4 linked regions of the Callithrix jacchus genome follow. The protein of the gene in region 1 interacts with the protein of each later gene in a pairwise test. Links are inferred from orthologs where the notes say so. Each region holds a gene or a part of one and is shown in the gene's direction. Other genes may lie near its edges.

The links. The genes of interacting proteins can lie anywhere in the genome.
Region 2: the proteins of TRIM39 (region 1) and UBTD1 interact in binary tests that used the Homo sapiens proteins (3 or more experiments, as listed by UniProt). The two-hybrid records come from large-scale screens. The link is inferred for Callithrix jacchus from reciprocal best matches to the Homo sapiens genes TRIM39 and UBTD1.
Region 3: the proteins of TRIM39 (region 1) and UBTD2 interact in a two-hybrid assay, tested with the Homo sapiens proteins (2 studies listed by BioGRID and IntAct). The link is inferred for Callithrix jacchus from reciprocal best matches to the Homo sapiens genes TRIM39 and UBTD2.
Region 4: the proteins of TRIM39 (region 1) and PLCD4 interact in a two-hybrid assay, tested with the Homo sapiens proteins (2 studies listed by BioGRID and IntAct). The two-hybrid records come from large-scale screens. The link is inferred for Callithrix jacchus from reciprocal best matches to the Homo sapiens genes TRIM39 and PLCD4.

What each region holds. Positions count from the first base shown.
Region 1 is NC_133505.1:35,066,404-35,071,788, forward strand, and holds the end of TRIM39 (E3 ubiquitin-protein ligase TRIM39), read left to right. Parts: intron 1-1,389; coding exon 1,390-1,412; intron 1,413-1,986; coding exon 1,987-2,102; intron 2,103-3,180; coding exon 3,181-3,728; 3' UTR 3,729-5,195; downstream 5,196-5,385.
Region 2 is NC_133513.1:90,375,670-90,381,054, forward strand, and holds part of UBTD1 (ubiquitin domain-containing protein 1), read left to right. Parts: intron 1-3,412; coding exon 3,413-3,640; intron 3,641-5,385. UniProt on the Homo sapiens protein: May be involved in the regulation of cellular senescence through a positive feedback loop with TP53. Is a TP53 downstream target gene that increases the stability of TP53 protein by promoting the ubiquitination and degradation of MDM2.
Region 3 is NC_133503.1:64,591,329-64,596,713, reverse strand, and holds part of UBTD2 (ubiquitin domain-containing protein 2), read left to right. Parts: intron 1-3,814; coding exon 3,815-4,051; intron 4,052-5,385.
Region 4 is NC_133507.1:140,352,582-140,357,966, forward strand, and holds part of PLCD4 (1-phosphatidylinositol 4,5-bisphosphate phosphodiesterase delta-4), read left to right. Parts: intron 1-1,405; exon of another isoform or gene 1,406-1,551; coding exon of another isoform or gene 1,552-1,594; intron 1,595-1,883; coding exon 1,884-2,112; intron 2,113-3,974; coding exon 3,975-4,104; intron 4,105-5,385. UniProt on the Homo sapiens protein: Hydrolyzes the phosphatidylinositol 4,5-bisphosphate (PIP2) to generate 2 second messenger molecules diacylglycerol (DAG) and inositol 1,4,5-trisphosphate (IP3).

The sequences.
Region 1 (5,385 bases):
AGTTTTTCATCTTATATGAATGCAGTTCATGTAAGTTCCCCAAAACAATTACAGTAGTAACATCAAAGATCACTGATCACAACTCATACTAGATATAATCATGAAAAAGTGTGAAATATTGTGAGAATTATCAAAATGTTACAGAGACATGAAGTGAACACATGCTGTTGGAAAAAACGGTGCCAGTAGACTTGCTCGACACAGGTTGCCACCAACCTTCCAGTTGAAAAACACACAGTGTCAACAAAACACAGTAAAGCAAAGTGCAATAAAATGAGGGAGCCTGAAATTATGTATAAATAATAATTTGCTTTTGATATGTAAATATTAATAATACCTCTAAAGTGTTTGAAATAGTTTGTTCTCTTAAGTAAATGAATGATGTTAGCAAAACTGTAGGGAACATATTTTTTAATCTTAGAGATTAGATTACCAGCATTTCAATCAGTGAGGCTTCATTGTACATTTATGTTATGTATTGCTTGGTATTTATTCCTGTGTCCTTTCATGTATGTGTGTTCTGCTTTCCACATTAAACTGGGAAATCCTGTGGGACAGAGATTTGTCTTCTTTGTCTTCTGGACCCCAAGTATTCACAAATCAGTATTAGCCCTCAGTTATTAATGTTTATTGTTTCTTTTTTTTTTTTGAGATGGAATCTTGCTCTGTTGCCCAGGCTAGAGTGCAGTGGCATGATCTTGGCTCACTGCAACCTTTACCTCCCGGGTTCAAGCGATTTTCCTGCCTCAGCCTCCCAAGTAGCTGGGATTACAGGTGCACACTGCCATGCCCGGCTAATTTTTGTGTTTTTAGTAGAGATGGGGTTTCACCATGTTGGCCAGGCTGGTCTTGAACTGCTGATCTCAAGTGATCTACCTGCCTTGGTCTACCAGAGTGCTGGGATTACAGGCATGAGCTACTGTGCCTGACCAGCTAATAATGTTTATTAACTAATGCAAGACAAGGGATGCCAAATGGTAACAGGAATGTGTGATTTGTTCCTATGCCACCAGTCCGGAACTCTCTGTACTGATCCTCAAGGAGACTGAGATATGTGGTTGGTACTTGGGGGACAGAGTAAAGACTGACACAATCCCTGATTCTTGTAGGGAGCTCCCAGCACCCTTGAAGAGCAAAGACAAACATAAAAGAAATAATTGGGAAGTGATATAAATGACCAGGTTTCATGATGACCAAAAATTGAAAGTAGGGATTAGGTTGAAAGAAGTACATTCAGGTCCCTCTGGAGCTCTTCTTGCATTGTGTGACCCTCAGTTTATCCTACGCCTATTTTGTAGCTGTGGAACTTTGGGGAGGAAAGGGAACCTTTTGCATTCAGGACCGTTGACTACCAGGACCAATATTGCTTTCTTTTCTCCTTCCTTCTAGGATGTCAAAAGTACCCTGGAAAAGTAAGTGATTGTTATATCTCTTTGAGTGAGTTAGGTCTTGGCTTAGAGAGGAGGGGTACAGTCAGGAGTTTGGGTCAGGGATTAGATTGGGAAAGTCATGTAGCATCTGGGCAGGGTATGGGAGAAGGTTCATTGACCCCATGAAGCCAGGTAGAGAACAAATTATTGAGAATAATAATCCCTTTTCCCCTGTAAACGTCAGGACTCCTTGAGAAGGAGAATGATAGGCAGAACCAGATTCTACTGTGCCAGTGGGTGGAACTGTGTCCAAACAAGATGGCAGGAAGAAGGAGTTCAGAGAGCATGAAGGACAGTCAACCATTTGCATGAAATATAGGAATATTTTTAGAAAGTTCTGAGGCTCACTCTCAAAATTAGGATCTGTCCACAAGATCATAAGGCTCTCCTTGGATTACTAAAAGAAAGCAAAAGGTGAGCTCTTCATGGAGGAGGAAGAAAGAGGGAAGATAGAGAATTTCATTTACTCCCTAAAGATGTTAACATCTGAATAGTCACTTGGCTGGAGCTTCCCCCTGACTCCACCCTTTCTTCCCTGTCTCCCTATCCTTCCTAGATGTGAGAAGGTGAAGACCATGGAGGTGACTTCAGTATCCATAGAGCTGGAAAAGAACTTCAGCAATTTCCCCCGACAGTACTTTGCCCTAAGGAAAATCCTTAAACAGCTAATTGGTGAGTTGTTACCAAAAGGAAACTAGAAGGAAACACTAGAGAGAAGAAAGCTTTTAGGTCTTACCTTATATGGGTTTGAGTTATCCCATCTCTCACTTTTCTTACTCCCACCCACACCTACCCCTTTACCTGGCTTTTACTGTCACCCTGAGTTACAGAACTTGGAGTGAGAGGAAGCCTTAAGTGTTGTCTACTCTTAGGTCAATACTTGTCTATAGGGACCCAGAAAGGTTAAATAATTTGCCAAAGTCACCGGGTAGAGTGATTATATAATTTACCATGTAAACTTGCATAACCTTGAAAGGCTGGGTGGCTCACACCTGTAATCATAGCACTTTGGGAGGCCAAGGATGGAGGATTACCTGAGGTCAGGAGTTCAAGATCAGCCTGGCCAACTTGATGAAACCCCATCTCTACTAAAAATACAAAAACTAGCCAGGTGTGGTGGCACGCACCTGTAATCCCAGCTACTCTGGAGGCTGAAGCAGGAGAACTGCTTGAACCCAGGAAGTGGAGGTTGCAGTGAGCTGAGATTGTGGCACTGCACTCCAGCCTGGGGGACAGAGCGAGACTCCATCTCAAAAAAAAGTAAAGTGAAAGGGAGTATCATTATATTAATGTTAATATGCAGGGAAAAATAGTCATAAAGTCATAAACGAGGCCAGTTCTCAGAAAATAGACACATGGTCACTCTATCCCTAGGCCATACGCTGTCTTGCTCTGCATTCTTCTTAACACTTTCCATTTTCTCTGGCTCTCAGGCTGTACCTTGTACTTGTCTACATAGTAAAATAAATGATGATGTCAGAGGGAGATGAAGAGAAGACCAGGCGGGAACCTAGATTACCAGCCCCTGCAGAGTCAAGAGATTATGTTTACTTCAGGGTCAGTGTGAGAAATGAGCCATTGCTTTCTCCCCTGCCTTAGGTGACACCATGGATTGAGAAAGTTAACCAAACCGTGTTGTTCTGGGGACCTTTAAGGGACCAGGCTCTGTAAGGCAGGCTGGAAGAGTGAGGCAGGGGCGTTTAGCTATTCCCATCCTCATCTAGCTCCCCACTCTGGCTTCTCCCGCCAGCGGATGTGACCCTGGATCCTGAGACGGCTCATCCTAACCTAGTCCTGTCGGAGGATCGTAAGAGTGTCAAGTTCGTGGAGACAAGACTCCGGGATCTTCCTGATACACCAAGGCGTTTCACCTTCTACCCTTGCGTCCTGGCTACTGAGGGTTTCACCTCAGGTCGACACTACTGGGAGGTGGAGGTGGGCGACAAAACCCACTGGGCAGTGGGTGTGTGCCGGGACTCTGTGAGCCGAAAGGGCGAGTTGACTCCACTCCCTGAGACTGGTTACTGGCGGGTGCGGCTATGGAATGGGGACAAATACGCAGCCACCACCACACCTTTTACCCCTTTGCACATCAAGGTGAAACCCAAGCGGGTAGGCATATTCCTAGACTATGAGGCCGGCACACTGTCTTTCTACAATGTCACAGACCGCTCTCATATCTACACTTTCACTGATACTTTTACTGAGAAACTTTGGCCCCTCTTCTACCCGGGCATCCGGGCTGGACGGAAGAATGCTGCACCACTTACCATCAGACCCCCAACAGATTGGGAGTGACAGGTTGGGATGTGGGAATAACTGGGGTGAGGCAGGGTCAAGTGCTACGGGCCTCCTTCCTGTGTCCTGCTGGAACGTCTTCGTGTCCACCTGGTTCCAGTCCCGAATCATCTTGGAGAAACACCTCAGTTTCTAGGATGGTTTTGGGTGGAGGGAGAGGTAGGACTGGGCTGGATGAGAGAGCACAGCTGTGTCTCCCTCCTGTCAGGGCAAGGAGCTGGTTCCCAGAGGATTATCTGCCCTGAAGTCCATCAGGTTTTCTGTTGCACAAGGAAGGGTTGGGAAGGAAGGAGAGGCTTTTCCAGAAACAAACAAAAAAAAATCTGTGAGGGTCTGACTTTCTCAAACCAGAGGAGGAAACAGAAACCCCTGCACATCTTTTAGGGGGTTCTTTGACCCAGGATAGTCTTGCTTCTTGAGGTAGATCACAGGAGTCTGTACCTCTAAATTAAAGAAAGATGAATGACAGATGCTCTCATGGGTCTCAACGTTGAAGAGTTTTTCTGAGGGCAGAGGTTGGACATCAACAAGGTTAGAAGATCAGGGAAGTGGGTAAAGGAACAAGTTCCTAGAGATTAACAAAGGGGAAGGAGGTTTTTTGGTCTTCCATTCCAAGGGTAAGATTGCCATTATGGGTAGTATTGGCCAGAGGTAGGAATGTGGAAAGGAGAGGCTGAAAAGAAAGCAGAGGAGAACCCAGGTCCCTGCCTCAGCCTTCAGCAGAGTTGGCTGATTGCCTGCCTCTTTACACCAAGAAGTCAGTCACCTTGCTCCTCTCCAGAGCCAAGGTAGAAGAGATCCTGCAAGACATATCTATCCTTTCACAGTTTTCCCAAGAGAAATTGGAAAGGAGAGTCAGGTATTAGAGGAAAGAGAAAGGTTTGTATCCAAAGCCCTGGCCGTAAAGAATGTTATGAAGTAGCTACTCCCAAATTGTCAGCCTTGTTACCTGGCCAAGGTATCCAAGCCAGAAAGGAAGAAAGGTAATAGAGTCTTCCTCACCCTAAGGGCAGGGTAGAAGAGGGTGATGTATAGGGAATGGCCAAATAGGCAACTTTCTTTGGCCTGTGTGCATCTGTCCTGGAACTGGTGTTAACAAAAGCCAGGCTTTTGCTTGTTTGTTGCCATCCCTCACCCTTTGCCATTTCCCTTTTCAGAGAATGTAAATGATTTTCATGTTAGGCCAAAATAAACAACTTATAGGGTACATATGTTGTCATAAAAGGTAAAAGTGATGCATGCCAAACCAAACTAAACTAATTTGGATTATCTGCTGTTTGGGTAATCTTCACAGAAATGACTGAGAAGAATCTGCAGTTTATTGAGGGCATTTCAGTTCCTCCTACCACCTCAACAGGACTTTGTCCAGACTCTCCTCCTCTTACCTTTGTGCCTTGATTGTGGTTCTTTGTGGCAAGATACTTTGGTTGGTTAAAATAATATGGAACAAAGGATCCACTGAAGTGATCTCTGTGTTGTGTGGTAATTTGGTGATAGCCTTGTACTGATGTGTAAGAATCACTGGGTGTTAAACATGCATGTTCCTGGGTCTCACCCTTAGTGATTAGTCAAGGTCTGGGGTGAGCCTTGGCATCTACATTTTATTTTATTCATTTATTTTTGAAACAGAGTTTCACTCTGTTGCCAAGGCTGGAGT
Region 2 (5,385 bases), on another chromosome or scaffold:
ATGTCTTCTACAAATACAAAAATTAGCTAGGTATGGTGGTACATGTCTGTAGTCCCAGCTACTCAGGAGGCTGAGGCAGGAGAATCCCTTGCACCCGGGAGGCAGGGGTTGCAGTGAGCTGAGATCACACCATTGCACTCCAGCCTGTCGAAAGAGCGGGAGTCTGTCTCAAAAAAAAAAAAAAATTAAAGCAGAGATTATAGGACTGACAAAGTAGGCTCTGTAGCAGTAACATACCAAATTCCAACCTGACTTTGATCCAGAGGAGATTAGCTAAAAAATCTAGCACCTCCCAGCACTTTGGGAGGCCAAGGCGGGTGGATCACGAGGTCAAGAGATCGAGACCATCCTGGTCAACATGGTGAAACCCTGTCTCTACTAAAAATACAAAAAATTAGCTGGGCATGGTGACGCGTGCCTGTAATCCCAGCTACTTGGGAGGCTGAGGCAGGAGAATTGCCTGAACCCAGGAGGCGGAGGTTATGGTGAGCCGAGATCACGCCATTGCACTCCAGCCTGGGTAACAAGAGGGAAACTCCATCTCAAAAAAAAAAAGAAAGAAAATCTAGCACCTGTTAAAGGTCTGAACAGGAAACATTTGCCAACCATGACTTCTAAAGACGGCCACCTATTAGACTTCATCTACATAATAAGAACCTTGGTCTCCACAACTCCTTATCTTAACCCAGATATTCCTTTCCGTTGATTCCAGGACTTAAGATAATAACACTTTCAACCAATCGCCAACCAGAACATCTTTAAATCCACCTAAGACTTGTAAGTCCCCACCCCTTCAAGTTGTCCTGCCTTTCCGCCACAATATATGTCTCACATTTAATGACTGATATCTTAAGTCTCCCTAAAACACATCAAACCAAGCTCTAATCCAACTACCTTGGGCTCATGTTCTCAGAACCTCCTGAGACTGCATCACAGGTCGTGGTCCTCACATTTGGCTCAGAATAAATCTCTTCAAATATTTTACAGGGGTTGGCTTTTTTTTGGTCCAACAGTCCCTGTTCTAGTACTGTGCCAACTGTAGCTTTATAATTAGTGCTGATCATGGCAGTGCAAGTTATCTCACTTTATTCTTCTCTAGGAGCATCTTTGTTCTTCTACATAAAATTTAGAATCGGCTTGCCAGGTTCCTTGGGAAAAAGCTGACAAGAATTCTATTGGAATTGTATTACATTTATAGATCAGTTTAGGGGGAATGGGCATCTCCATGATTTCTTTGAATGTTGCTTCATTCCCATTCTTCCTATTGTATCCTTCTGGAAATTCGGTTCAAAATATTAGCCCCAGCTGGGTATAGTGTCACCTGTATAGTCCCAACTACTTGGGAGGCTGATGGGGGAGAATACCTTGAGCCCAGGAGTTTGAGGCTGCAGTGAGCTATGGTTGCACCACTGTACTCCAGACTGGGTGACACAGTGAGACCTTGTCTCTTGAAAAAAAAAAAAGACATCTGAATCTCAATTACATTTTCTTTTTCTTTCTTTACTTTTATTTATTTGAGACAAGGTCTCATTCCATCGCCCAGGCTGGAGTTGGAGTACAGTGGTGTGATCATGGCTCATTGCAGCCTCAACCTCTCTGGGCTCAGGTGATCCTCCCACCTCAGCCTCCCACGTAACTGGGACTACAGGCACATGTGACCATGTCCCACTAATTTTTTTTATTTCTTGTAGAGACAGGTTTTTGCCATATTGTTCAAGCTGATCTCAAATTCTTTGGCTCAAGTGATCCATCTGCCTCAGCCTCCCAGAGTGCTGGGATCACAGGTGTGAACCACTGGGCCCGGCCTATATTTTTCATTTTTAGAAGTTCTATATGGTTCTTTTAAGATCTTCTTGGTTAAACCTACTATGTACCCACAAAAATTAAACAGTAAAAAAAATCTCCTTGGTCATTCTTTATAATCTCTTATTCCTTATTCATATTTTTAAGGCTCTCATCCTTTAACTCAGTATTTCATAATCTGTGTCAGTTAAACTCCCTATCTAGTCTTTGCACAGCTGATTCTTGTGTCCACAGTGTCTGCCAATGCTGGCTCTAATTGCCTTGGTTCCTTGCATATTGGGATTTTTAAAAAAAAACTATTACCTTATTTTTCTTGGAACTTATCTTGGGAATTCTTTGAGGCTTGGTCCTGAAGTTGTTTTCCTCCAAAAAGGGTTTGCCTTTCCTTCTGCCACCTCACCACCCCGGGAATACTTTAAATGTTTGGCTTTAGAGTTTTCTGCCCCTACAGGTAGCTGTGAATTCAGATGGCAAACTACAGGATTTAGTCAGACCTGAGGTGGAACCCTCACTCACTTACTATGTGACCTGAGGCAAGTTATTTAATCTTTCTAAATCTGTCCTATCATCTGTGAAATAGCAATAATAATACCTACTGCCTAAGGCTACTGCAAGGATGAAATGGGATCACATATGTAAATACAGGCTTGCCTGGGGTTCTTTCTCAGTCCCTGCCTACGATTCTCTTCCTTGCTTTCTTCTGCCCCAGCCAATGGGAGCAGCTTAGTGATGGCCTCCAGCATTAGTTCTGCCTCTCGCTGTAGGACCTGAGTTATAGTGGAAGCAGGGTGCTTCACATCTCACTCCAGTGACTCACTCTGCCATCAGCTTTGAGATGACTGAGCCTCCGAAAGCCTTTGAGAGACATCTCTACCCTCAGTCTTGACTGTGGTTTGGAATATTCTTGGAGGTCACTTGAAACTGGGCAACAAGAAAAATGACATTTGACAGAATTGTTTTCTTTGTCAGATGCTGCAGGAGTTTCTTGGTGAGTTTGTTGGCTATGATTTCTTAAAAGATGTTAAAATTGTTAATTTTTTTTTGAGACATGGTTTTGCTCTCTTGCCCAGGATGGAGTGCAGTGTCGCGCGATCATGGCTCTGCAGCCTCAACCTTGCAGGCTCAAGTCACTCTCCCATTTCAGCCTCCCGCGTAGCTGGAACTGCAGGAGCATGCCACCACACCTGGCTAATTTTTAAAAATTCTTTGTAGAAACAGGGTTTTGCCATGTTGCCTTGGCTGGTCTAGAACTCGGGGGCTCAAGCAATCCTACTGCCTCCCAAAGTGCTGGGATTACAGGTTTGAGCCACCGCACCCTTCTTACATGATTAAAAATTATTAGCCGGGCGCCGTGAGAACAACAACAACAACAAAAAAAACAGCAGCATATGCTCTGCTGACAAAATTATTTGATGTCCCCAGGTTGGTTATGTGGGCTTTCCTGACTCTTCCCTGCTGTTTAGGAAGGGCTTCAGAGACCTGAATACTTGGTAGCCAGAGCAGCAGGGTTTCAGGGTTTCAGGGTTTGGCCCCGGGAGGGGAAGAAGCGGGAGGGCAGGTTGCAGCTCAAGTGCCTTTAGAGATGCTGAGCCTCTCCTGTCCTGCCCAGGACGCAATGAGCCCCTGAAGAAAGAACGGCTGAAGTGGAAGAGCGACTACCCCATGACTGACGGGCAGCTGCGGAGCAAACGGGATGAGTTCTGGGACACAGCACCTGCCTTCGAGGGTCGAAAGGAGATCTGGGATGCCCTCAAGGCCGCCGCCTACGCTGCCGAGGCCAATGACCATGAGCTGGCCCAGGCCATCCTGGATGGAGCCAGCATCACCCTGCCTCATGGTAAGTGGGCAGGGCCAGGGCTTTATCCCCGCTGGAGCTAGGGGGTCACCAGCACGGTTTGCAGGTAGAGTAGAGCCGGTGGCCAGCCACGTGTCAGGAGGTTCTATCCAAGCTGTTGGGGGAGTGTTGAGCGGTGTGGAGTGGTGGAACAGGTGGTTATTCACTTATTCGTTCATTCAAGCAATCCTTGCTGAGCATGGACCAGAAGTGGATACATAAGGAAAATGAGACAGTCTGTGCTTGCCTAATGACACAATAGAAAGGCATCAACAAACCTGCCAAGCAGTGTCACAAATGCATGTTGGGACCCCAGAACATCCAAGACACTGACCTTTTTATTTTATATATATGTTTTTTGAAACAGAGTCTTACTCTGTTGCCCAGGCTGGAGTGTAGTGGTGGGATCTCTGCTCACTGCAACCTCTGCCTTCTGGGTTCAAGCAGTTCTCCTGCCTCGGCCTCCTGAGTAGCTGGGATTACAGGCACGTGCCACCACACCCAGCTAATTTTTGTATTTTTAGTGGAGATGGGGTTTCACCACGTTGGCCAGGCTGGTCTCGAACTCCTGAGCTCAAGTGATCTACCGACCTCGGCCTCCCAAAGGCATGGACCTTGGGTTATGTGCTGGGCACTGAACTAGAAACTTCCACTGCATTAGCTCACGTAAGTTCACAGCAGCCTTATGGGGCCGTGTAAAGCAGAGGGTAACAACAGTGGCGCTCTAGAGTCCCAGACCTGGGTTTCAGCCTGAGTGTGTTCCTTTCCTAATTGTGTTGCCTTTAGCAAGGAGCTTCTAGAAGTTAGAGCCTGAGTGCCTTACAACTATAGAGGGGAGATGATTATTAGGATTCAGCAAGACGCACATAACATCATACAGTCTAGTCCCTGCACTTAAGTGTTCAAGAGACAATACACTTATTTTTCCATGCATTACATGGTACCAGTAAGGACACTGAGGCCCATGGAGAGCAGAGCTGTGCTATTTCATTCATCCCTGTAACCCCAGCACCTGGCACATGTGAACAAATGAAAAGTGATGTCCCAGGGATGAACAAACCAGTACCTGGTAGAGCCAGGATGCCAGCTCAGGTCTTCCTGACTGCAGCCCTGTACACCTGGTCATCAGGTTGTCCTAGGGAGATCTGACTGTGGGGTGGCCATGGCAGTGTATTAGTCTGCTCAGACAACTATAACAAAACACTACATGCTGAGTGACTTAAACAAGAGACGTTTATTTCCCACAGTTGGGGAGACTGGGAAATCCCACATCGTGGTGTTTGCCGGTTCAGGTTTTGGTGAGGACTCTCTTGCTGGCTTGCAGGCGTGTCTGCCTTCTTGCTGTGTCCTCACATGGGAGCGAGTGGAGCATAACACAGTGCTCTAGTGTCTCTTCAGGAACTGTAAGCCAGGGCAGTGGAGCACACCTGTCGTCTCTGCTGCTCAGGAGGCTGAGGCGGGAGGATCGTGTGAGCCCAGGGGTTCAAGACTAGCCTAGGCAACATAGGGAAATCTTGTCTCAAAAGAAAAAAAAAAAAGGCCGGCCAGGTACGGTGGCTAACTCCTGTAATCCCAGCACTTTGGGAGGCTGGGAGGGGGGTGTGGATCACAGGGTCAGGAGTTCGAGACCAGCCTGACCAACATGGTGAAACCCTGTCTCTACTAAAAATACAAAAATTAGCCAGGCATGGTGGTACACGCCTGTAATCCCAGTTACTCAGGAGGCTGAGGCAGGAGAATCGCTTGAA
Region 3 (5,385 bases), on another chromosome or scaffold:
TGTTTAGCTTGGTACAAACATGAGGTACTTAGCTGCCAGGCTGATAACTATGTCCAAGTACTGCATTTTCAGAAATACAGGTTTGTGATAACACCTGAAATCAAAGGGTAAGATTTGGTGAACAAATGCCAAGAAAGTGTACTCTGATAAAGGCACAGAAAGTGCATGGCAGTCATAGGACAGTTCTTTAACATTTAAGGAAGGGATTTGGAAATTATGAAAAGAAAAAAGACAGCCTGTATATTTTTGTCAAGGGGCTTAAAGATATTCATGCAGTGCCTCCAAGTTCGTTTTTACTTATTAAGTAAACCCTTGTTTGCTGTTTTATTGTATATCACTCATTATGAGTGCTTTTATGAATATGAACTTAAGTCCTCTTAACCCTAAATATTTTCATGTTTTCATGAGAGGATAGTTCAAATGCTTTTGCTAAATGCTAGTATTTTTCCCAATTATTTATTTAACAAAAGTTAGTCATTTAGTTTAATATGAAACTTGAAACCTCCGATTTTATAGTGAAAATTCTACACTGCTCTGGGGTTTCACTAAAGTAATTATGTTCCAAAGATTTAATCATTTTAACAATGGGTATTATATAGACAGATACTCTATATTATGTATGTTTATAATACAGGCAGAAATAGACAAAAGTAATCTTCCTTCATGTCACAAGCATTTATTTTTGTCTTTTGCAGAATAATTACTGTGAAGCTTTTGACAGCATGTAGATTTGAAAATGCATTTGGGGCCTGTCATGGTGCTGTAAACCCAGCAATTTGGGAGGCTGAGCAGAAGGATCACCTGAGGTCCAGAGTTTGAGACCAGCCTGACCAACATGGTGAAACCCTGTCTCTACTAAAAACACACACACAAAATTAGCTGAGTGTGGTGGCCCATGCTTGTAGTCTCAACTACTCAGGAGACTGAAGCAGGAGAATCGCATAAACCCAGGAGGCAGAGGTTGCAGTGAGCCCAGTCATGCCAGTGCACTCCAGCCTGGGTGACAGAGCAAGACTCTGTCTCAGATAGATAGATAGATAGATAGATAGATAGATAGATAGATAGATAGATAGATGATAGATAGATGATAGATAGATAGATAGATAGATAGATAGATAGCAAATGCATTTGGAATTATTTTCCTTAAGCAACATAAATGCATCATCTATTCTTTTTGTGGGACTTTGTTCTCTGCCAAATGGAAAGAGATGAAATGAACCTACTTCACATTTGTAAGGAAGGTGTTTTACAATTTTTCCAGGGTACTTTGTACACATATTATGATTGTTTTTCTGTTAGGTTCCTCTTTTCAAGGGCCTCTTACTTTCATTTGCTTTAGTTTTAGGTCCTGAGATTGTAGAGGTTTTATTGTTTTTGCCCGTGCTTTGTGATTCTCTCAGAATGACAGGAAAAATTATACTAAGTTATCTCTCATGGATTTAGTACATATGAGATCAGATAATTCTGTAGAAACAGGTAGGAAAAAAAGAAAAAAGAAATATTCAGGTAGACCCAAAATTTCATTTAGATAGAATCTTACTGAGTCTGCATACTTACTGTGCCATCTTCCTCCTCCTCCTGGTCAGTAAGCTGAGTGTTGTCCGTAAACTGTCTCTAACTTATCTAAACAATAATGTAGCAGAAAATAAAGGCTACCTTGCATTCCATTGTACTGGTGCAATCGGTAGGTTGTGGTTATCAGACACATTCTGAACATCTTTTAGGGAATTATGCTCTAGCTGCATAATCTGTATTATTTGGAAGAAGCAGAGAAAAAATCATTAGTATAGACTGTGTTTCTCACATTTGAATTAAATATAATAGACACTCAGTACATATTTGTTGATTAAGTAAGGAGACTTGGATTTGGTTTCCAGCTCTACTACTTTAAAGGATGGGTTTCCTACTCTGTTTTCCCACCCGTTTAGAACTCACCTGTTTTGCATTTCACTAGGACAAGTTAGAAGGCAAAAAGTATTTGAGTTAATGCTGAGCGTTTTAAGTGGAAAACAGCTGGTGGTAATATGGTATGCCACCCTGAAGGGGAGAGGACAGAAGAGACTTGCCTTGGCAGTCTTTGTTGGTCTTATCTGAGAGATAAGACCTGGAGAGTACAGATAGCCCAGGGTCTGGAGTCATTTTATTTTCTGTTTTGCATAGCCCAAATTTCATTTGGCCCTGGGCCAATGAGAGAATTGTCAATTTCATGGATGCTTTAGAACCAGTTTGAGAGTGGTTTCTTTAAAATTGGTATTCTTTCTGCAATTAAATATAGAACATTGAATTTTGACACATACCCTCTCTCCTTCCCACCTGCTCTGTCATTTTATTTCCCACCCACTCTTTTCCAACACTCTTCTCTTTTCATCCAGCTTCAATTTTCTTTTTATCTTCTATCCCATCTATCAAACTATTTCCTATCTATAGCACTGTATAATCCTACAGAGCCATAAATAAGAATAGCTCTGTAGGTCAGTATGACCTGTGAAAATAGATCACAGATAATACACCAGGTAGGTATGTGGATGCAAGGATGTTGTATCAGACTTGTTCTACTACTACTACAATGACGACGACGACATAACATTCTCTAAGGGGAGATGCTGCACTTGCCTCTGTTTTCTTCTTCTTTTGGGTTGAAACTAGGGTAGGATATTGTAGTTCTGTTCCTTGTGGTTGGGAGCTAATCCCTTGGCCTAGAATCAAGGATTATCTCTTTTATTCCCAGTTCCTCAAAAAAAGTAAAGTGCTGATTCTACCCTTTGTAAATTAGTTCCTGTTTGAGTTACAGAGAAAGGTATTTACAGTTCCTTGAGTAAAGTCCAGAGAGGAGAATGCTAGAGGAAGTATTCCTGTAATCTGTTTGTTCATGATTCTGGTTGTTTGGCTTTTCTTTCTCTGGACACTAAAAAGCAGTCTTTTGCCTCTTTGGATTTTCTCAGTTCCTAATTCCTGGTTTCATGTGTCTAAGCTGCAGTTGCCATTTGGCTTTCCCAGTGTATCTTGCCTCTCTTGTATGGTGTCTCTTGACTCTCGTATCCTGCTATTACAGTCTGAAGAAACACCTACCTTCTCGGCAGTTCTTTTAAAATGAACGAAACAAAACTTTTATTGTATTTTTAAAAATATTTATTTTTTTAGAGCAGTTTTAGGTTCATAACAGAATTAAGAGGAAGGTACAGAGATTTCCCATGTACTCCCTGTGCCCACACATACATAGCCTCCTTTCTCCGATTATCAACATCCTCCACCAAAGTGGTACATTCATTACAACTATAATTCTCTGGGTGTTTTTGTTTTGTATTGTGTGAGATGGGGTCTCTCGTCCAGGCTGGAGTGCAGTGGTGTGATCGTGGCTCGCTGCAAACACAACCTCCCAGGCTCAAGTAAACTTCCCACCTCAGCCTCCTGAGTAGCTGGGACCACAGGCACATGCCAACATGCCAGGCTAATTTTTGTGGTTTTTGTAGAGATGGGGGGAGTCTCACGATGTTGCCCATGCTAGCCTTGAACTCCTGGATTCAAGCTATTCTTCCACCTCAGCCTGTAATTCTTTGTAATGATCCTGTAGAGAGGGTGTACTGGGTGGAAAAGAGCTACCAATTTGTTTTGCACAGAGCCATCTAATGTCTCTGTTCACTTTTGTAGTTCCAGAATATGTTAAGAGGAATTTTAGAATGCACACATTAGCTAGCAGGCAAATTTCTGGCTGTCATTTTGATGAAATAATCCAAAAGAGGGAATGACCAGATAACTTGTGATATATACTTTATAAGTTTTGGTTTTGATCTCAGTCTTTTATTTTTCTTCTCAGTTGCTCTAGGTCGTAACCAGCCTTTGAAAAAGGAGAAACCAAAATGGAAAAGCGATTATCCTATGACAGATGGACAACTGCGCAGCAAGAGGGATGAATTTTGGGATACTGCACCAGCTTTTGAAGGCCGAAAAGAGATTTGGGATGCCTTGAAGGCTGCTGCACATGCTTTTGAGAGCAATGATCATGAACTGGCACAAGCAATCATTGATGGTGCAAACATAACATTACCACATGGTAGGTTTGGTGTTCCTCAAGGACAGAGGGAACATAATCAGCTTTGTTTCTTATAGCAAGAAAACAAATGGGAGAGTTTTTCCTTGCTATAAATTATTCTAACTTTTTTTTTTTTTAATGTAGCAAGGAATAGCATTCCTCTTTTTTTCTTATACATCTTTCAGCTGGAGACAGGTTTTACTTGGTGTGTTTGTATTTTTGTTTTGTTTTTTTTTTAATATATCTTAATCTCAGAAAAGAACTCTGAGCATCTCAAAAGTTTCTGTTTAACCTAGTTCTCCATGAAGACCTCTTCTCTCCACCCTGCCACCCCTACTTTACCAGCCCCATCCCACTGTCAGTCTGTTGGAGCTTCTACTTCACTGGTTTCCTTCTACCATCACTAGAGATTGAGTCTCAGTTTAGATTTTATAAGCTGTAGAGACTCCGAGGATGCTCTGTTTAGTTATTATACTTTCTCATCAAGCCTATTTTTGGCATAGTAATGTAGAAGTTAGATCCACATGTTTTTAAGGACAGTTTGCCATTATTGTAGCCCTGAGCATTATCAGGAACTTTTCTGTTTTGTGTAGAAATATGACTGTTTTTAGGATAACCATAAGCTTTGAATGTGTCTGGGAATGCACACATGCTAGTTCCATGCATGTACTTTTGTTTGATCTCCTTAATCAGAAACATGAAAAATTTTCATGCCATATTGAGATTTAGGTGTTAATTTTGTATTTATATTTTTTGTTTTTTTTTTAATTTCTGTATTAATATTCTCAGTATTCTCTTTAGTTTTTCAAGTTAATATTTTTCAAGATTGTCTTGTCAGATCTGTGTAATAACCACCTTTCATTTATTTCTATTCATTATTATACCATCATTTTTTTAATCCCCTGTATCTCCCTTTATCAGCATTCATAGAGGAACAGTGATTTTTTGCTATCTAATCATCTGCTTTATGTCCTTTCACTCTATGTCAAATGAAAGATTTTTTTTGAGACAGAGTCTTGCTCTGTCGCCCAGAAGTCTGGAGTGCAGTGGTACACTTGGCTCACTGCGACCTCCACCCCTCAAGTTCAAGTGATTCTCATGCCTCAGTCTTGCCACCATACCTAGCTAATTATTGCATTTTTAGTAGAGACAGGGTTTCATCATGTTGGCCAGGCTGGTCTCAGCTCCTGACCTTAGGTGATCCTTAGGAGACACGTCTCACTCTATCACCCAGGCTGGAGTGCAGTGGCATGATCATGGCTCATTATAGCCTCAACCTCCCAGGCTCAAGAGATCCTCCCACTTCAGTCTCCCAAGTACCTGGGAGTACAGGCGTGCATTACCATGACTGGGAA
Region 4 (5,385 bases), on another chromosome or scaffold:
GGGCCGGGTGCGGTGGCTCATGCCTGTAATCCCAGTACTTTGGGAGGCCGAGGCGGGCAATTTTCCGAGGTTGGGCGTTCGAGACCAGCCTGACTAACATGGAGAAACCCCATCTCTACTAAAAATACAAAATTAGCTGGGCGTGGTGGTGCATCCAGTAATCCCAGCTACTCGAGAGGCTGAGGCAAGAGAATCACTTGAACCTGGGAGGCAGAGGTTGCGGTGAGCCAAGATTGCGCCATTGCACTCCAGCCTGGGAAACAAGAGTGAAACTTCATCTCCAAAAAAAAAAAGAGTCCTGTACATAGTAAGATGTAATAAATCATTGGTTATATCTTGTTGTTATTATAATAAGACCATGATCTCAGACATCAGCCTGCCTAAATGAAAGCCCTAGCTCTGCCACTTTCTGAGTAGCTTTGGACAAATCAAGTAGTTAAACCATGGCTGGGCATGATGGCTCAATGCCTGTAATCCCAGCAATTTGAAAGGTTGAGGCAAGAGGATTGCTTGAGACCAGAAGTTCAAGACCAACCTGGACAGCATAGGGAGACCCTGTCTCGACAAAAAATAAAAATAAAAAATTAGCTGGGTGTGGTGCTGTATGCCTGTGGTCTCAGCTATTTGGGAGGCTAAGATGGGAGGATCCCTTGAGCCCAGGAGGATGAGACTGCAGTGAGCTGTGATCACACCACTGCACTCCTGCCTGGGGAGCAAGACCCTGTCTCTAAAAAAATACATACAGACATACATACATACATAAATCAAGCTTTAGTTTCCTCATCTGTAAAATGGGGATTAAACGGTACCTGCTTAGTAGGTTACAAGGACTCAATGAGTTAATGTGTAAAAGACTTAGTATGGGATGTAAAACCAGGATGTATTTAATAAATGTTAGCCATTATGATAAATATTTTTAAATATAAAAAATGTGGCCGAGTGTGGTGGCTCACACCTATAATCCCAGCAGTTTGGGAGGCCAAGGCGGGTGGATCACCTGAGGTCAGGAGTTTGAGACCTGCCTGGCCAACATGGTGAAACCCCGTCTCTACTAAAAATACAAAAATTAGCCGGGTGTGGTGGCGGGCACCTGTAGTGTCAGCTACTCAGAAGGCTGAGGCAGGAGACTCACCTGAACCCAGGAGGCAGAGGTTGCAGTGAGCTGAGATTGTGCCATTGCACTCCAGCCTGGGTGACAAGAGGGAAATTCTGTCTCAGAAAACAAAACGTAAAAAATCATAACAGTGTGCACTTATTGACCAAACTCTTTATGATGACAGGACATAATTGGATCACAGGACGCATCTAAGAGAGTCTGTTTTAGAGACATAATTAAATTGCCCACAATCCGTATCACCCCCAGCTGAGGTAAGGGGGTGAAAGAATTTCTCTGGTTCCCTCGTAGGCATCTGGGAAGAGGAAGCTCTCAAACCTGGAAGGGGAGAACTGGACTTGGGCATATAATGCTTTAGTAGAACTGCTTCTGCCTTTCAAATGTGTTTCCATTTGTCATCCACACCAGTCCTCCTGTGATCACCATTGGGGCTGCCTATGGAAGGGGACTATCCATTATTTCAGATGAGGACACTGAGTAGTTAAGTCATTTTGGTTTATGTCATACTGCCAGCTTGTGGCTAGAAGCCATGTCTTGCCACTTCCAGCACAGGCTCTTTGCTGTGCTGCCTTTGAAAACATCAGTGATTCATGTGGACTCCTGAATCCCTGGGGCATCTCTGTACTAATGCTTTTTGGGATTCAGCCTGCAGAGGCTGGGGTTCCTTTCTATAGTGTTAGGGAGAAGGGGGTGCTGGTCTTTCACCCTTAGCCCCTGCTATTTGCTTGACTCCCTTCCTCAATGCCTCCACCTGCTTCTTCTCTGGCAGTTTCAATCTCTGACGTGGATACAATACGTAACGGGCATGATTCTGAGTTGCTGCGTAGCCTGGCAGAGGACCTCCCCCTGGAGCAGGGCTTCACCGTTGTCTTCCATGGCCGTGCCTCCAACCTGGACCTGGTGGCCAACAGTGTTGAGGAGGCCCAGATATGGATGCGAGGGCTCCAGCTATTGGTGGATCTTGTCACCAGCATGGACCATCAGGAGCGCCTGGACCAGTATCGGCAGGATGGAGTCAGTGTTGGGGGTGGGGGATCACTCTATCCCTGAAGGAGCCAGATGCAATAGGTCTAGGAAAGGTGAGAAGGGGTGCAGGACTAGGGAGGCCCAAGGGTCTAGATGGTATGGGCGGGGACAGCTCAGGCCAATGTGAGACTGAGACTACTGAGGGAGGAATGGAAGCCAGGGATGACAAAGCCAGGCATGAGTCAAGACCCCCAGGATTGGAGGAAGAGACAGTGAGAGGCAGAGGAGCAAATAAGATGCTGCTCCTAAGAGCTGCACAGAAGATCACAGTGACATTAAATAGCATATAGGTGGGAAACAACCCCTTAGAAGGCTCAGTGATACAGACTCACTTCAAGTGTCCTAGATTGTATGCCATTTCATTCATTTATTCATTCATTCACCACCTGTTAACCAGAATGTATCAGGCACTATGCCAGACTATAGGGGTACAGTGATTAAGGAGACTCATATATTGCTTCAGTTAGTGAAGAGGATGGAATTGTGTAAATAATTTTTTTTGGCCAGGCACAGTGACTCACACCTGTAATCCCAGCACTTTGGGAGGCCAAGGCAGGCAGATCACTTGAGGTGAGGAGTTTGAAACCAGCCTGCCCAACATGGTGAAACCCCATCTCTACTAAAAAAAAAAATACCAAAATTAGCCAGGTGCGGTAGCTCACTCCTGCAATCCCAGCACTTTGGGAGGCCAAGGCGGGCAGATCACGAGGTCAGGAGTTCAAGACCAGCCTGGCCAACATAGTGAAACCCCATCTCTACTGAAAATACAAAAATTAGTCTGGCATGGTGTAATCCCAGCTTCTCAGGAGGCTGAGGCAGTAGAATTGCTTGAACTCAGGAGGTGGAGGTTGCAGTATGCCAAGATCACACCACTGCACTCCAGCTTGGGCAACAGGGTGAGACTTCGTCTCAAAAAAACAGACAAACAAAACCCAAATTAGCTGGATGTGGTGGTGCACACGTGTAATCCCAGCTACTTGGGAGGCTGAGGGAGGAGAATTGCTTAAACCTGGGAGGCAGACGTTACAGTGAGCTGAGATCCTGCCACTTCACTCTAGCCTGGAGGACAGAGTGAGATTCCATCTCAAAAACAAAATAATAATAATAATATATATATTTTTAAATAGAAACAGGGTCTTACAATATTGCAAAGACTGGTCTCGAACTCCTGGGTTCAAATGATCCTCCTTAGCCTCCCAAAGTGCTGAGATTATAGGCATGAGCCTCTGTGCCCAGCCTGTGTAAATAATTTAAGTGCCGTAGAAGTATTATGGTACTTAGATTACTGCAGATATTCAAAGGAATTTTTTTTTTGAGACAGAATCTCACTCCATCACCCAGGCTGGAATGCAGTGGCGCAATCTCTGCTCCATGCAACCTCTGCCTCCCTGGTTCAAGCAATTCTTATGTCTCAGCCTCCCTAGCAGCTGGACTACAACAGGTGTGTGCCACCATACCCAGCTAATTTTTTGTATTTTTAGTATGGATGGGATTTCGCCATGTTGGCCAGGCTGATCTTGAAACTCCTGATCTCAGGTGATCCACCCACCTTGGTATTCCACAGTGCTGGGTTTTCAGGCGTGAGCCATTGTGCCTGGCCAGAATATGGATTTCTTTCTGCAGGCAACAGGGAGGTCCCTGCAGGTGCCTGAGTCATACAGTGACAAGACAGATTGGTGCTCTGGAGAGGTTATTCTAGAAGCTGTGTGGAGAATGGATTGGCACTGGGGAGAAACTGGCAGGAAAGACGGGAGAGATATCAGTGGATGAACGTGCACACACAACTGCACACACAAACACATATATTAGTGCTTTTGCCTTGACTCAGACCTGGATGGCTGAGTGACTGGTTTCAGCGTGGAGACAAAAATCAGGATGGTAAGATGACTTTCCAAGAAGTTCAGCGGTTACTGCACCTAATGAATGTGGAAATGGACCAAGAATATGCCTTCAGTCTTTTTCAGGTGAGTCTGCGGGGAAGAATTTTCAGTAGCCAACCAGGCCACATTTTCACTGGGCCAGAAGTCCTCAGACCCCAGTCTGAAACACTCAATTGTTAAATCTCTGCTCTGTGCCCTGAGTACTAGGCTCAATGCCCTATGCTCAATGGGAAGTGTAAGGGGTGATTCTTGCTTTTCAGTCTTGTTGAAAAGTCATAATTCATAATGAAAGGTAAATAACAATATGTTATTATGTTGGACCTCAAGGACTTCTCTGTTCATGGCTAGAATTTCACAGGTGCCTAGAACAATGGAAAACCCCAGCTGGAATGTAAGTAAATAGCAGGAGGGATCTTCTGATCTTTTAGGGGACTTTGGGAGATTTAACTATTTCTAGTTGAAAATTTTCTTTAGTAGCAAATGGTATGGCTAAAATTTTGCCTCTTACTTAGGAAGTGATTTATTCTATGAATACTAAATGTTAGTTCCATGGGAGTTTTATGGAAACATGTTTGGATCTATCTGCCTGTAAGATTTTTTTTTTTTTTTTTTGAGATGGCGTTTCGCTGTTGTTACCCAGACTGGAGTGCAATGGCATGATCTCAGCTCACCGCAACCTCTGCCTCCTGGGTTCAGGCAATTTTCCTGCCTCAGCCTCCCGAGTAGTTGGGACTACAGGCATACACCACCATACACAGCTAATTTTTGTATTTTTAGTAGAGATGGGGTTTCACCTTGTTGACCAGGATGGTCTCGATCTGTTGACCTCGTGATCCACCCTCCTCGGCCTCCCAAAGTGCTGGGATTACAGGCTTGAGCCACCACGCCCGGCCCAAGATTGCTCTTACAGTGCAAGTCAAGATCATATTTCCAGCCAGGCATGGTGGCTCACACCTGTAATCCCAGCACTTTGGGAGGCCGAGGCAGGTGGATCACAAGGGCAGGAGACTGGGACAATCCTGGCCAACATGGTAAAACCCTGTCTCTACTAAAAATACAAAAATTAGCTGGGCACGGTGGCACGTGCCTGTAGTCCCAGCTACTCGGGAGGCTGAAGCAGGAGAATCGCTTGAACTTGGGAGGCAGAGGTTGCAGTGAGCCAAGATCACGCCACTGCACTCCAGCCTGGCAACAGAGCGAGACTTTGTCTAAAAAAAAAAATCATAACATTTTCCATTCTTGGAGTTGTGCTTATTTCACATTGCATGCCTATATCAAAACATCTAATTTACCGTATAAATATATACACCTACTATGTATCCATAAAAATTAAAAACATTTATTTTTAAATTAAAAGAAAAAGGT